Linked DNA regions of Saccharomyces cerevisiae S288C. The gene in region 1 interacts genetically with each later gene. Each region holds a gene or a part of one and is shown on either strand. Other genes may lie near its edges.

Region 1 (6,023 bases):
TCCAAGACAAAAGCAGCATTGATAAGTGCAGTGAATGATTCTGGAGGTAATGACAACAAAAGCCTCGATAAACGTTCAGATGAACTCCAGACTAAAGTAGCATTATTTTCAGGCATGGGTAAGTGTGCAATTGGACCAGTGGGTAAGAACCTCTGCCAGCCCCTTAGTTTAAAGGGAGGATACTCTAACTTCATGCTGGCCACAACACCATAGGCATTATACATCCAGCCCCTAGATGGGATCTGGGAAAATCTTCTGGTAGGAGAATTGAACCCGTCTGCACCCACTAGCAATCTCGTCTTGTATACTTCACCATTGGAAAGAGTGACTAAAGGCCAGGACAATGGATCATTAGGGTCGCTGTGTTTAATATTGACAACTTTTGTATTATCAATAATATCAATGGAGTCCTTCTTTGAATCGTACTGAGAAATTCTGTTGTATAAGGAGGCCTGTATATTTATAATTTCAATCATACAAAGCATGGAGTCCCTTGCCAGATCCAAAGTAGCCTTAGAACAACCGTCCGTGACATAGAGTCCGTCATAACTTTGAATCCTGTCATGCATCAAAGTTGCCCCAGCGTTATTCTCAAGAAAATGAATAGATCTAGGCGTAACACTGACAATCCTGTTCGTAAAATAATCTGGGGGTGAATTATAAAAGTCCGATAATTTATCTTTTAAGTCCACCATATCGACTAAAGTTGTCTTTAGATCTTTTAATTGCGGAGAATTCTTAATCGATGCAGCTAAAGTCAAACCTGCAGGACCCCCACCTACGATTAATACATCTGTTAACTTTGGAGCTGAAGATTTGGCTGTTGCCAAACCCCTCACCAAAATACGCCGAGTAAGCATAACTTTTGAAAAGAACATGCCTCTGTGTCAATCGATACAAGGTTCACTGAAAGACCAATTTGAGTTACTGAATGAAGAAAATTATCGCCACAATTATATTTATTCCTTTTTAATGTCGTATCACAATTCCAGAAGGGATATTTCTCAGAAACAGTTTAAGATCTGCGTGTTCCTTCTGCAAGAAGAAGGGAAAAAAAGAAAGGAGAAACAATAGCAGCATAAATCTTGTTCGATAAAACAACATCACTTTTTCTTGAAACTTCAAGGGTTTGCCTCCTTAGCTTAGTGGTAGAGCGTTGCACTTGTAATGCAAAGGTCGTTAGTTCAATTCTGACAGGTGGCAGTTTCCTTTTTATTTGTCAGTATTAATAATTGAGGCGCCCCTAATTTTTTTGGCACCGCTCTCGATGAAAAAGTAGAGACGTCAGAAATTGAACGTTTCCTCTAGGAGTTTATTAACTAATAACCCCGAAAAATGGCTCTTTAACCACGAGTGCCCACGGAGGTTATCTTCACCCCTATTTTCATTTTAAATTTTAGATCACTGCTAGGAGTTAGCTCAAATATATATATATATATATATATGGAGACAACGTTTGAAGAATTCGTAGGTGCAGGTGAGCATATTGCCGGATAAGTGTAGTTACGCAACTACAATTAAAAAAACACGAGGAACAGAATGTCAAAGGCAGTAGGTGATTTAGGCTTAGTTGGTTTAGCCGTGATGGGTCAAAATTTGATCTTAAACGCAGCGGATCACGGATTTACCGTGGTTGCTTATAATAGGACGCAATCAAAGGTAGATAGGTTTCTAGCTAATGAGGCAAAAGGAAAATCAATAATTGGTGCAACTTCAATTGAGGACTTGGTTGCGAAACTAAAGAAACCTAGAAAGATTATGCTTTTAATCAAAGCCGGTGCTCCGGTCGACACTTTAATAAAGGAACTTGTACCACATCTTGATAAAGGCGACATTATTATCGACGGTGGTAACTCACATTTCCCGGACACTAACAGACGCTACGAAGAGCTAACAAAGCAAGGAATTCTTTTTGTGGGCTCTGGTGTCTCAGGCGGTGAAGATGGTGCACGTTTTGGTCCATCTTTAATGCCTGGTGGGTCAGCAGAAGCATGGCCGCACATCAAGAACATCTTTCAATCTATTGCCGCCAAATCAAACGGTGAGCCATGCTGCGAATGGGTGGGGCCTGCCGGTTCTGGTCACTATGTGAAGATGGTACACAACGGTATCGAGTACGGTGATATGCAGTTGATTTGCGAGGCTTACGATATCATGAAACGAATTGGCCGGTTTACGGATAAAGAGATCAGTGAAGTATTTGACAAGTGGAACACTGGAGTTTTGGATTCTTTCTTGATTGAAATCACGAGGGACATTTTAAAATTCGATGACGTCGACGGTAAGCCATTGGTGGAAAAAATTATGGATACTGCCGGTCAAAAGGGTACTGGTAAATGGACTGCAATCAACGCCTTGGATTTAGGAATGCCAGTCACTTTAATTGGGGAGGCTGTTTTCGCTCGTTGTTTGTCAGCCATAAAGGACGAACGTAAAAGAGCTTCGAAACTTCTGGCAGGACCAACAGTACCAAAGGATGCAATACATGATAGAGAACAATTTGTGTATGATTTGGAACAAGCATTATACGCTTCAAAGATTATTTCATATGCTCAAGGTTTCATGCTGATCCGCGAAGCTGCCAGATCATACGGCTGGAAATTAAACAACCCAGCTATTGCTCTAATGTGGAGAGGTGGCTGTATAATCAGATCTGTGTTCTTAGCTGAGATTACGAAGGCTTATAGGGACGATCCAGATTTGGAAAATTTATTATTCAACGAGTTCTTCGCTTCTGCAGTTACTAAGGCCCAATCCGGTTGGAGAAGAACTATTGCCCTTGCTGCTACTTACGGTATTCCAACTCCAGCTTTCTCTACTGCTTTAGCGTTTTACGACGGCTATAGATCTGAGAGGCTACCAGCAAACTTGTTACAAGCGCAACGTGATTATTTTGGCGCTCATACATTTAGAATTTTACCTGAATGTGCTTCTGCCCATTTGCCAGTAGACAAGGATATTCATATCAATTGGACTGGGCACGGAGGTAATATATCTTCCTCAACCTACCAAGCTTAAGGAGTTAAAGGCAAAGTTTTCTTTTCTAGAGCCGTTCCCACAAATAATTATACGTATATGCTTCTTTTCGTTTACTATATATCTATATTTACAAGCCTTTATTCACTGATGCAATTTGTTTCCAAATACTTTTTTGGAGATCTCATAACTAGATATCATGATGGCGCAACTTGGGCGTATCTTAATTACTCTGGCTGCCAGGCCCGTGTAGAGGGCCGCAAGACCTTCTGTACGCCATATAGTCTCTAAGAACTTGAACATGTTTCTAGACCTATTGCCGCCTTTCGGATCGCTATTGTTCATCATGGATATTTGCCATCTCGTCTTACCGACATCAAAAGGGTGTGTGCATATAGCAGCTATCATCCCACTTATGCAACCACTGGCAAAACTGTTTATAAAATGGACCCAGTTTGCGTCCTTAGATGCAAATCGAGTAGAATCTAGCCATAGTCTTTCCTTGCAAAGTTCATAGGAACTCCAATATATTGCACTAAACGGAACGTCTCTCCACAGAGTGATCTCCAAACCTTTGAAGAGGGCCCGAGAAGGACCCACCATTTTCATTTCCTGCCTCGTTTCGTTTAATAAATCTTTAACCATCATCCATGTCTTTGTGGACTTTGATGATCTCGGTATACTTTGCAGTTTAGTTTTAACCAATTCTAAAGGTGCAATACTTGTTGCTGCAAATACCCTCGCAATTGCACCACAAAAGAGGGGGTTTAATGTTGGGTACGTCGAGGCTATAGGAGAAACGTCTCTTATATATTCATAACCACTAAAATAAACCATGTTGGCAGGAATAGCCATTAATAGGGTCAAAGAAATACCCCTCCACAAACTTGTAATACCTTCGACGCTGGCAATTTTCGTGAATGCTTCTAAAGTACCGTTGAACTTCAACGATGAATTTTTACAGTGCAGTTCTTGAAAACAAGCACTCTCCCAAAATATTTTTGCGTTGTTCAAGTTCTGTCCTCCGACGTTGGTGAATGTCTTCATTTTGGAGCCTGAGCTAACGGCGTTGGGCACTTCGGCAGCCCCATCACATGAACAGTCAGGAATCATCTGCTGCTGTTGCAGCCGTATTCTCACTACATCCATCGGTGTCAAAATCAAAGAAGTGAGTACTGATCCAGCACCGGCACTTAACATTCGTTCTTTTAAGGTCAGGCTGTTACTTGTATTGCGATCACTCATATCGTATTATCAACACCTCGTTTCCTTTCCTACGATACTTTATGGCTTTGGCTCATACGATTCCTGTGAAGTGAACTGGCACAAATATGAGGGTAGTGTGCCCCAATTCCAGAGGAGTGATCTTCCCGGAAATATGCAAAAATGACAGAATGTGTCTTATTCTCTAATTGCTATTCTGAGATCTTCAAGATGGCGAAAAATAACGTTGCGCGTGTTTGGGTGGGTGCCAAAAGTGTCATACCTCACCGACGCAAAGATACCAAAAGGACCGTATATATCTACTATTCCTGGATCGGTTGACTTTGTTAACATGCAGAAACAAAGGTAATGTTTATAAATAGTAAATCATACATAAGTATATGTTATTACATCTTTCTTTTCTTTAGTTTACCTGTTGCGGTTGAAATTCTCTTACTTGTATTGAGCTTCTTATCACCAGATATGTACTCCCTTGGAAAAAATTCATTAATCCTTTTTTGCTTCCCCTTCTTTTTGCGTTTATTAACATCTCTAATTAAGGGAATGAGAATTTCATCAGACTTTTCGTGTGGCCAACCTAGTTGAGTCTTCATGAATGAACGAAGCATATCGAGATCTGGTACCCCCCAAACAAACGGCGTGGTATCGTGATCGACTTCTGGTCTCATATACGCATCATAAACCATGACGCTAGGAAAATCATCATCTAAGATAATTTCGTTATTTACCAGTTTTTTTCTCAGGTCTTTTTCAAATTTATTTTCCGTTTCTTGCTTACGTTTATCAAACTGCCCATTATTATACCAGTCTTTAAAATTTTTTAGGTTTCCAAATTCTGCAATCACTTCAATGCTTGAAACGGGACCCATACCCTTCAATCCATTCGTGTAATCGCTCCCTAAAAGCTGTGCCAACTCAATCATATTCTTTCTATCCAAGCCCAATAATTTTAAAATAGATTCCGCATCATAAAATTCAACATAGTTCTTTTCGTGGAACATATTTTTGTAGATCTTTGTACCTCCAAATAGGAAAACATCACTGTCATCGGTAATTATACCATCGACAAGGTTTAGTTGTAACAATTCCGCACACTGTGCTTCAGCTTCCATAGGCGCAGTGATATAGGGGATTCCAAACCTCGATAGTAATTCTTGCACTTCTTTGATCATATCCATAGTTACCTCATCCGAATCTCTTTTATCCTTCATCTGTTGTTCGAATAATTCATCCTCCACAAAAGCGTTCTCGGCAACGTTTCTTTCAGCAGAAGTGGACAAAGTCGTGTTTTTAAATGTATCAAACTCTTCTTGTTCCTTTATCATATTTTCTACTATGTTATCTTCTTCATCTTCGGAGAAGTCATAGTCGAATATAAGAGGCTTTCTATGCTCCTTATTTATAGATTCGACTTTTCTACTATCGTTATCCTCTGCTTCTTTTGAAATCTGAGATTTAGTGGGAACGTCCTCAAATAGTTCTTCTGATAAAACTTCTAAGTCATCGTCCTTGTTTTCATCATTGGAGCTCTCTTTCTCGCTTTCTCTTTCTAATATTTCCGTAGCATTTAAGCCTGTCAAGAGTTCATAGCTACTCCCTTTATTGGTAGTTTCTGCTCCACTTTCTTGTTCATTTCTTACGTTTTTATCTTCCACGAAATTTGTTGTGTTATAGGGATTATACAACTGCTGGGAAGCAGTTGAAGAAAACCAGCTCGGCATTTCAGGAATTGGAGACTTTTCCTTCGTGGCTTCTTGGGACACATTACTCTCGGTATTCTTTTGAAAAAGCAGGGAATTTTCATTGTTAAAATCAAACTGTGG
Region 2 (4,935 bases), on another chromosome or scaffold:
CGCAAATGATGAGAAATAGTCATCTAAATTAGTGGAAGCTGAAACGCAAGGATTGATAATGTAATAGGATCAATGAATATAAACATATAAAACGGAATGAGGAATAATCGTAATATTAGTATGTAGAAATATAGATTCCATTTTGAGGATTCCTATATCCTCGAGGAGAACTTCTAGTATATTCTGTATACCTAATATTATAGCCTTTATCAACAATGGAATCCCAACAATTATCTCAACATTCACCCATTTCTCACAAAGGATAAATCTCTTGGTTTGCGGGCCGCATACAAGATATGATTGTAGTTTTTTCAATGGCTCTACTGTCCCACTGCTGTACAACAGAAAATGAGAGATCAGAGAAATAGTATTCCGGAAGCCAGTGGTGTTTACTTATTAGTTTTTTGACGCCACTGCGCGAGTTGCTGCCTAGCTGTTCCTTGGCCAACGCATATTGGAACTTCATTCGACTGATATGCTTACTCAGAGGTCCATTACTTCAAGAATTGTCTCACCTATCGGGCTTGGCGTTTGTACAAGAAGAAACTTTCATCACCTTTGTTTCGCCACCAAATGAAAAAAAAAACTTGCATGGCTTAGGTGGTTCTTTGTCAGAAATATCTTCTAAGGATCAAGAGTCTTACGTGATTCTAATCCCTTGGCAAGTCAGATCTCAAATATGCTCACTCGCAGATGAGTAGCAATGAATGCGACCAAGTGACTAGTGACTGGTGACGACATGAGCCAAGCTGGAACCAGCAGCTTTCACGTCGGCTTATAGCTCTCTATGGGGCAATCAACCACTCATAGTGACTGAAGATCTTTTTAATATAATTACATTGCTAAAAACGTCATACCGCCTTGTGAGCACGATAAACAGCATATGCATTGAGCCTTGTTATTCTTCGGAACTGGGGATAGTAAAATGCGACCCGCTTAGGATGATCAAGCTATCTTTGGGACGGAGTTTTGTCATGGGAGTGGTCATCCTACTGGTGATGCTTCAACATTTGATTTACTAAATTTTGAAATCGGCCGCAGAATAAAACTATTATGTCCAAACAATTGATGGTCGAACCAACGTTAAGGGTTTCAAGTATTGAATTGAACTTTTATGAGTTCTATAATTTCGTTGCGCAAATTCAACTAAACCACCAATATCCCCCCTACAACGCTACACTTTATACCGATAGAGGAATAACGCATAGAGCCTTCGTAGAATTCTTCAACTCGTACGTGATGGGGATTCTAAACCTATCGTCATGTCGCTGTACAAGGCTGCTGCCTGCTTTCAAATTCCCAATTTTACCATGTCCGTTTCGCTGAGCCGAATCGTCACACAAGGTAATTAGTTCTGGGTATCGCTTCAGTATAGCACTGGTTTTTTCCTTGTAAAACCACAGTCTAACAATTAAATGAAGCTTTTCGAAGAAATTAGACCATGTTAGACTGAAAGCAAAGACTCCGGCCCGTTCTGAGGTAAGTTCAATGAAATTGGACAGTTTCTTTTCAAGGTTAGGTTTTGTGTTCGAAAAAAATAGATTACCGCACCTCCTTTCCAAACCCCATGAGTTTCCATTAAGGAAGAGCAACGTCAATAATACCACCTTTTGCAGATGTGATTCAACTCAAGATGCTGTAATCTTTCCCTTCTGACCCTAGATCACCTCATGATATCCTTTTGAGGCAATTAAAGCTGCAGTGTAAACTGTTGAATATCTTTTTGAAACCAAAAAAAAGGACGTTCCACACTTGGCTGCTTTCTTGATAAGCGAGATCTTTACTTGGAGATCTCGCTTAGTCCTCCGAAGGTAAACCCCGTCTCTTATCTTTAAAAAAATGTATCAGACCCTTCAGCACGTGACAGACAGCAAACTACCAGTCGACGAGGATGCTTTTCCGAAAGTCATGACACAAGGGAAGGACTGTAAGATCGATATCGGCGCAGTCTTATCGGATGTTCCAAGTCCTTGTCTCTTTCATTATCTGCTTGCTATCGCAAAAAAAAAAAAATCAATTTGTTTAATATCAACACATAATGTACAAGAACAAATCATGACATACAAAAGCCATATAAGATGAGTCTTCAAGCAGCACCAAGAGGCCTGAGGCAGAGCAAATGTTGGCTCGCTATTCTTTTGTAAGCAATCTGGTACTCACCAACCTCCAACTATGAGATCTTTAAATACCCTTTTACTTTCTCTCTTTGTCGCAATGTCCAGTGGTGCTCCACTACTAAAAATTCGTGAAGAGAAGAATTCTTCTTTGCCATCAATCAAAATTTTTGGTACCGGCGGTACTATCGCTTCCAAGGGTTCGACAAGTGCAACAACGGCGGGTTATAGCGTGGGATTAACCGTAAATGATTTAATAGAAGCCGTCCCATCTTTAGCTGAGAAGGCAAATCTGGACTATCTTCAAGTGTCTAACGTTGGTTCAAATTCTTTAAACTATACGCATCTGATCCCATTGTATCACGGTATCTCCGAGGCACTAGCCTCTGATGACTACGCTGGTGCGGTTGTCACTCATGGGACCGACACTATGGAGGAGACAGCTTTCTTCTTAGATTTGACCATAAATTCAGAGAAGCCAGTATGTATCGCAGGCGCTATGCGTCCAGCCACTGCCACGTCTGCTGATGGCCCAATGAATTTATATCAAGCAGTGTCTATTGCTGCTTCTGAGAAATCACTGGGTCGTGGCACGATGATCACTCTAAACGATCGTATTGCCTCTGGGTTTTGGACAACGAAAATGAATGCCAACTCTTTAGATACATTCAGAGCGGATGAACAGGGATATTTAGGTTACTTTTCAAATGATGACGTGGAGTTTTACTACCCACCAGTCAAGCCAAATGGATGGCAATTTTTTGACATTTCCAACCTCACAGACCCTTCGGAAATTCCAGAAGTCATTATTCTGTACTCCTATCAAGGCTTGAATCCTGAGCTAATAGTAAAGGCCGTCAAGGACCTGGGCGCAAAAGGTATCGTGTTGGCGGGTTCTGGAGCTGGTTCCTGGACTGCTACGGGTAGTATTGTAAACGAACAACTTTATGAAGAGTATGGTATACCAATTGTTCACAGCAGAAGAACAGCAGATGGTACAGTTCCTCCAGATGATGCCCCAGAGTACGCCATTGGATCTGGCTACCTAAACCCTCAAAAATCGCGTATTTTGCTACAATTATGTTTGTACTCCGGCTACGGCATGGATCAGATTAGGTCTGTTTTTTCTGGCGTCTACGGTGGTTAAAGCCTGATCAGTGACTTTTCATCACACTGTGTTTTTATATAGTTCTTAGTAGTAAATATACTCTATAATTTCTACATCCTTTTCATGATGTGCCAGTTAAGCTATTTTTAGCAAACAAAAAGATGAATTTGAGTATTGAGCACATCATTCACTGTTCAGCTGATACAAAACATATGATTTCTAATATTCACATAGGAAAAATCGCTCCAAACATCGAAGTATCATCGCTACTTTGGTCTTTTATCTGCTTCTCTTCTCTTCGCTCTTTTCACTGCTCGTGCCGCTGCAACGCTCCAACTCAGTTCTATCTCAGCTCCTTCCCCTTATCCCTTGAGCAGTGTCAAGGCGAGGCTGCGTGATGTATTCGTGCGCGAAAAAAAAAACAACTGCAGCACCTGAGTTTCGCGTATGGTCACCCACTACACTACTCGGTCAGGCTCTTACCAGCTTAACTACAGTTGATCGGACGGGAAACGGTGCTTTCTGGTAGATATGGCCGCAACCGAAATAGTTAGGTGTGGCAGCCGTACATATGGAAGCCGGGCGATGGCTCCGCCACGTGCAAAGTGCAGGAGCTTTGGAAAGAGCGTGCATATAGTGATGAAAACAGAGAGCACGGTTGCGAACGGAGGGTCTCACAATGTCTCAAAGGATAAATCTCTTGGTTTGCGGGCCGCATACAAGATATGATTGTAGTTTTTTCAATGGCTCTACTGTCCCACTGCTGTACAACAGAAAATGAGAGATCAGAGAAATAGTATTCCGGAAGCCAGTGGTGTTTACTTATTAGTTTTTTGACGCCACTGCGCGAGTTGCTGCCTAGCTGTTCCTTGGCCAACGCATATTGGAACTTCATTCGACTGATATGCTTACTCAGAGGTCCATTACTTCAAGAATTGTCTCACCTATCGGGATTGGCGTTTGTACAAGAAGAAACTTTCATCACCTTTGTTTCGCCACCAAATGAAAAAAAAAACTTGCATGGCTTAGGTGGTTCTTTGTCAGAAATATCTTCTAAGGATCAAGAGTCTTACGTGATTCTAATCCCTTGGCAAGTCAGATCTCAAATATGCTCACTCGCAGATGAGTAGCAATGAATGCGACCAAGTGACTAGTGACTGGTGACGACATGAGCCAAGCTGGAACCAGCAGCTTTCACGTCGGCTTATAGCTCTCTATGGGGCAATCAACCACTCATAGTGACTGAAGATCTTTTTAATATAATTACATTGCTAAAAACGTCATACCGCCTTGTGAGCACGATAAACAGCATATGCATTGAGCCTTGTTATTCTTCGGAACTGGGGATAGTAAAATGCGACCCGCTTAGGATGATCAAGCTATCTTTGGGACGGAGTTTTGTCATGGGAGTGGTCATCCTACTGGTGATGCTTCAACATTTGATTTACTAAATTTTGAAATCGGCCGCAGAATAAAACTATTATGTCCAAACAATTGATGGTCGAACCAACGTTAAGGGTTTCAAGTATTGAATTGAACTTTTATGAGTTCTATAATTTCGTTGCGCAAATTCAACTAAACCACCAATATCCCCCCTACAACGCTACACTTTATACCGATAGAGGAATAACGCATAGAGCCTTCGTAGAATTCTTCAACTCGTACGTGATGGGGATTCTAAACCTATCGTCATGTCGCTGTACAAGGCTGCTG
Region 3 (5,402 bases), on another chromosome or scaffold:
AACTAAGGGTTCCAATCAATGTTATGAAGAATTCCAAGTTAATCGACGAAAAGCGTTTGGAAAGGAATTATATAAACGTAAACATGAAAAATATTCATCGAATACTCCACATCGATCGTATTACAGTGTTTTAGTAAATGTTTGTATTTGAATCAAAGTTTCAGCATTTGTTCTACACTGATAAAATCATGGTTCTAGTATAGTGAAACATACGCCCAAGTTATCCTAGTACAAGACCGCCATATTGTGCTCATAATCGGGAACAATGAAAATAACACCCTAACAATTGCTGAAACTTGTCGTACGCGATCCCTAATTACATTATCAAGCATTCAGCATTGGTCAATACCTCAATACCTCGACAAGAAAAAAGAAATAGACACGTGTATGTCAAGGCATTAAGAAGGGTATCAGGCCTAGTGCTCGCCTCTTGCCTTCCCAATTTGTTGAACATCTTTGACATATAATTTGATTTTGAAATAGTTATTGGACTTCCATTTTAAATAAAGGCTCTATCATTAACTATACAGAATATACTAGTAACGTGAATACTAGTCGATAGACGATAAATTAATACTTTTTCCAATAAAATCTAAACGCATGCAAGTACATAAATAGGCGAAGGTATCTGACCGTAATAATCTTCACGCCATCTATATAAATAAATGAAAAATTCGGCTTTTAACTTATATATTAACAATAAGAAAGACAATGTTGCGCTGTGCTTACAGGAAGAATATTATAATTTTGACGAAAAGACCTTAATGAAATGCTTGAGGCTAATTAAAATATCAAAATTAGAACACGTAGCACTTTTCTTAAGTTCTGTTCCCAAAATTTCAAGGTCAAATGTGTTAACCTTTGGATGCACTTTCATAAAACTCCAAATATCCATCGCACTTAATAGGACGTCCCCTCCAAAAGCATCCACTGTATAATACTGTCTTGGATGGAAACCCTGCCTAATCACCATGCTCGCTGCCGCTGTTTCTATTGCATTAGTGTTTTCAGTAATGAAATTATTTGGCTCCTTTATTTCAGTCCCACTAAACTCCAAAAAGGTACTATCAAGTTCCCCATTAAAGTCACCAAACGTATGAATCTCACTCATTGCATCATTTAGAAAAGAATAGCCTGGTATGTCATTTGAGAGATTCGTACAGCCTATGGGATAGAAGGACCGATCAAAGGAATTCAACGGTGACGGCACTGTACAATTCTTTCCAACACACACTGAGAGCAGTTGCTTGAAAAATACGTAGCATTGTTGTATTTCAAGGGAATTATATGTGGAGGAAAGAACCACACTACCATCGAGAGTGTTACATGTGGGCGGTTTTTCTTCACAACAGGCCTTACTAATGTTCCGTTCATCAGAAGGCATGTTCCTCTCAGTCAAAAGACTCCTCAACATAAAATGGAGAAGTTCATTTTCCTTCTTTAATATGTGAATTTGATCATTTGTTACCGTTAGCTGAGCTTCTTTCTTCTCTAGTTCTTCTAATCTTTCCAACTTTCGTTTTCTAAATGCGTTTTGGGATGCTCTAAGTTGCGCAGCTCTCTTATTTTTAGGTGGAGTAAGTGAAGGCTTCCTGCCGCCTTTTCTTCCACGCGGTTTTGCCATTATCTTGGTCACTTATCTTCCGTTTTGACATGTTTTTTCAACGGCCGCTCCTTAAAGACCATCCGCATGCTAGAATTATATACTAATATGATTTTGTAAAGATAGGAATATTATAATTATAATTATATTTAATTTAATAAGAAAAGAAACGAAAAAAAAAAAAAAAATGGAATTAAAAAGTTTTGCCGTACATAAAATATTGAAAAGACTTTTACATTAATGCTGGAACAATAAAGCTTGAGGAGCTCAACCACTAACAATCAATTTAAGGTTACTCTCTCTACAATGGGTCTCCCAAGCGTAAAAACCTCCAACGAGGATGCAACTCTCAAACTTACTTGTAATATCTTCTTCTTGTAAGTAGGTTTCGAATTTAGCAGCTACTTTTGGTCCCCTATTCTTGGACCCAGTACAATGAAATATCACTTTGACGAATTGAGAACTTGAGAAAGTATCGGATAAACCTTTAATTAATTGATTCAGTTGCTTCTCTGTAATCTGTGCTGTTACTGGAACATGCCAAGCGTTTGTAATATGATCACGTGCAAAATCTTCTCTTCGAAGATCAACAACTTGAAAATCCTTCCTCTGATTTTCAATTAGGCCCTTGAGTTGCCTAGACGTTATGAAACTTACCATTACGCTTGCTGGATTGTCAAGTTTTCCTCAATATTAGTTTGTTATACATTAGTTTTTATACCGACTTTTCAAAAGTGTTGATTTAAAATCAAATTTTGAATGCTCTTAATTATCTTTTTGTTTGATTAATAATCAACTTTAGCGGCAACGCTCCTTACATAATTATAATGTAAACGGAAAAGAATATAAATGAATGCTCTCGTTGTAATTCAAGAGAACCCAACCAACAAATCATCAGGTTAGTAGAATAATGTCAGAAGATCAAAAAAGTGAAAATTCGGTACCTTCTAAGGTTAATATGGTGAATCGCACCGATATACTGACTACGATCAAGTCATTGTCATGGCTTGACTTGATGTTGCCATTTACTATAATTCTCTCCATAATCATTGCAGTAATAATTTCTGTCTATGTGCCTTCTTCCCGTCACACTTTTGACGCTGAAGGTCATCCCAATCTAATGGGAGTGTCCATTCCTTTGACTGTTGGTATGATTGTAATGATGATTCCCCCGATCTGCAAAGTTTCCTGGGAGTCTATTCACAAGTACTTCTACAGGAGCTATATAAGGAAGCAACTAGCCCTCTCGTTATTTTTGAATTGGGTCATCGGTCCTTTGTTGATGACAGCATTGGCGTGGATGGCGCTATTCGATTATAAGGAATACCGTCAAGGCATTATTATGATCGGAGTAGCTAGATGCATTGCCATGGTGCTAATTTGGAATCAGATTGCTGGAGGAGACAATGATCTCTGCGTCGTGCTTGTTATTACAAACTCGCTTTTACAGATGGTATTATATGCACCATTGCAGATATTTTACTGTTATGTTATTTCTCATGACCACCTGAATACTTCAAATAGGGTATTATTCGAAGAGGTTGCAAAGTCTGTCGGAGTTTTTCTCGGCATACCACTGGGAATTGGCATTATCATACGTTTGGGAAGTCTTACCATAGCTGGTAAAAGTAATTATGAAAAATACATTTTGAGATTTATTTCTCCATGGGCAATGATCGGATTTCATTACACTTTATTTGTTATTTTTATTAGTAGAGGTTATCAATTTATCCACGAAATTGGTTCTGCAATATTGTGCTTTGTCCCATTGGTGCTTTACTTCTTTATTGCATGGTTTTTGACCTTCGCATTAATGAGGTACTTATCAATATCTAGGAGTGATACACAAAGAGAATGTAGCTGTGACCAAGAACTACTTTTAAAGAGGGTCTGGGGAAGAAAGTCTTGTGAAGCTAGCTTTTCTATTACGATGACGCAATGTTTCACTATGGCTTCAAATAATTTTGAACTATCCCTGGCAATTGCTATTTCCTTATATGGTAACAATAGCAAGCAAGCAATAGCTGCAACATTTGGGCCGTTGCTAGAAGTTCCAATTTTATTGATTTTGGCAATAGTCGCGAGGATCCTTAAACCATATTATATATGGAACAATAGAAATTAATTGTTGACTCACCAAAAAATTACTTGGGCACCAATGAATAATACCACTTATAACTCTATATTAATCCAAGTTCACCCTAAAAACAGATAAAATTGACAATTTTTTTTGAAGGACAACTGATTGATCTTAGTGATGGTTAGGATGAAAAAATGGGTTTGTTCACGCCATCCCGCATCATTCAAAAACTCCGCACAGTTTTGGAGTTCAGTAAGAAGGGGACGTAATCTTACTATTGCATTTTTGAAAGTCTAATGAACTCAAGTGGCAAACTGTGTTACGTACATCACTTCTAAATACAATGTCTTTGAATTAGAAACTCGCTGAAAAATTATTATTGCGTATTGTATGTCATTTTTGAGATTTTCCTGCAAGATTAGTAATGCTTTAAACCCAAGTATTGTAAGCCCGATGGAATAGCACATGGTGATGGTACAACAATGGCTTCATAGATCATTCGCATAAAAATGGAATTCGTGCATCTAGTGTCTAATTAAAATTAACGTAACGAAATAGGACAAGATAAGCTTATGTCGTAGTACCCGCATAAGTACGTGTAGCTGCCATTTTATAATGCATGAAGTTGAAGTCATTAGGATGAAGAGGTGACATATAATGTTTCAAAATGGTGCCAGTATAAGTTTGGGATATCATGGAGCGGCATTCGTTTTAGTAAATGACTGTATTGTATAGTACTGTCTGTATGATTATCAGTTGAGTTGGTGAGATGAAGTAAAGATATTATAGCATCTGCGTTAATGTGTATTGCTATTATAGTATAGCATAGTGGTGTTATATAGTGGCACCGGGAATGAGTATAGGGAGTAAGAAGATCTTGTAGTTGCGTTTGAATAGCGACATGAGGACACGTCTTATGTCGCCATTATTAGGCTGAAATTGCAAGCATAAACTATTCGATATCAAAGATACCACAAGACCATGTATGCATAATTATAGAATACCAAGGTGGGGAGAGATTAAAAACGCACCATAGCAGCTGCGCGAGTATATTCTGCTATTAAATTGGAATTCACTGAAAGGTGATGAGAATGCAAATAGCTATGATACCTTATAGTGGTTAATTTGTATGAAAACGTTATAAAGCATGAAGTTGAGAGTATTGATATGATAATGGAGGTTCTGTGATCAATTTTAGAAAATTAAAATGTGGATGATCATGAATGTTATGGGTAAATGGCACAAGTAATAGACAATTTAATGAATAGGGTGTTATGTTTACGATATTTCAATTATGTTAATATTTAGTATGTTTATATCTTCTCATTAATGAATGGTTAATTTTTATGTTTAGGTGATTTTGGTGGTGATTTTGTGGTTATATTGACATAAGTGTGTATAAATTGAGTGGTTAGTATATGGTGCAGTTATACAATATTTGGAACCGCAAAATGAGATGTAGATATTAAAATGTGGATAATCATGGGCTTTATGGGTGAATGGCACAGGGTATAGACCGCTGAGGCAAGTGCCGTGCATAATGATGTGAGTGCATCTAGTACTGATTTAGTGAGAATGGGGCCATGGTGTGGAATATGAAAGTAGGGTAAGTTTGAGATGGTATATACTGTAGCATCCGTGTGCGTATGACATATCAGTAGAAGTGAAGGTGAGTGTGGCAAGTGGCGGTGGTGGTAGTGGTGGTATAGAGTGGTAGGC

Evidence for each region.
Region 2: mutations in GND2 (region 1) and ASP3-2 together harm fitness less than expected from each alone (positive genetic interaction), as found in Saccharomyces cerevisiae (one large-scale study listed by BioGRID).
Region 3: mutations in GND2 (region 1) and ARR3 together harm fitness more than expected from each alone (negative genetic interaction), as found in Saccharomyces cerevisiae (one large-scale study listed by BioGRID).

Annotation. Positions count from the first base shown.
Region 1 is NC_001139.9:1,003,085-1,009,107, forward strand, and holds GND2 (phosphogluconate dehydrogenase (decarboxylating) GND2), read left to right. Parts: upstream 1-1,539; coding exon 1,540-3,018; downstream 3,019-6,023. Other genes in the region: putative N,N-dimethylaniline monooxygenase COQ6, read right to left, coding at 1-878; MTM1 (Mtm1p), read right to left, coding at 3,121-4,221; ssDNA endodeoxyribonuclease RAD2, read right to left, coding at 4,587-6,023. UniProt on the Saccharomyces cerevisiae protein: Catalyzes the oxidative decarboxylation of 6-phosphogluconate to ribulose 5-phosphate and CO(2), with concomitant reduction of NADP to NADPH.
Region 2 is NC_001144.5:471,295-476,229, reverse strand, and holds ASP3-2 (asparaginase ASP3-2), read left to right. Parts: upstream 1-2,172; coding exon 2,173-3,261; downstream 3,262-4,935. Other genes in the region: YLR157W-D (uncharacterized protein), read right to left, coding at 254-466; YLR156C-A (uncharacterized protein), read left to right, coding at 3,620-3,751; YLR156W (uncharacterized protein), read right to left, coding at 3,773-4,117.
Region 3 is NC_001148.4:937,409-942,810, forward strand, and holds ARR3 (Arr3p), read left to right. Parts: upstream 1-2,513; coding exon 2,514-3,728; downstream 3,729-5,402. Other genes in the region: ARR1 (Arr1p), read right to left, coding at 740-1,624; ARR2 (Arr2p), read right to left, coding at 1,871-2,263.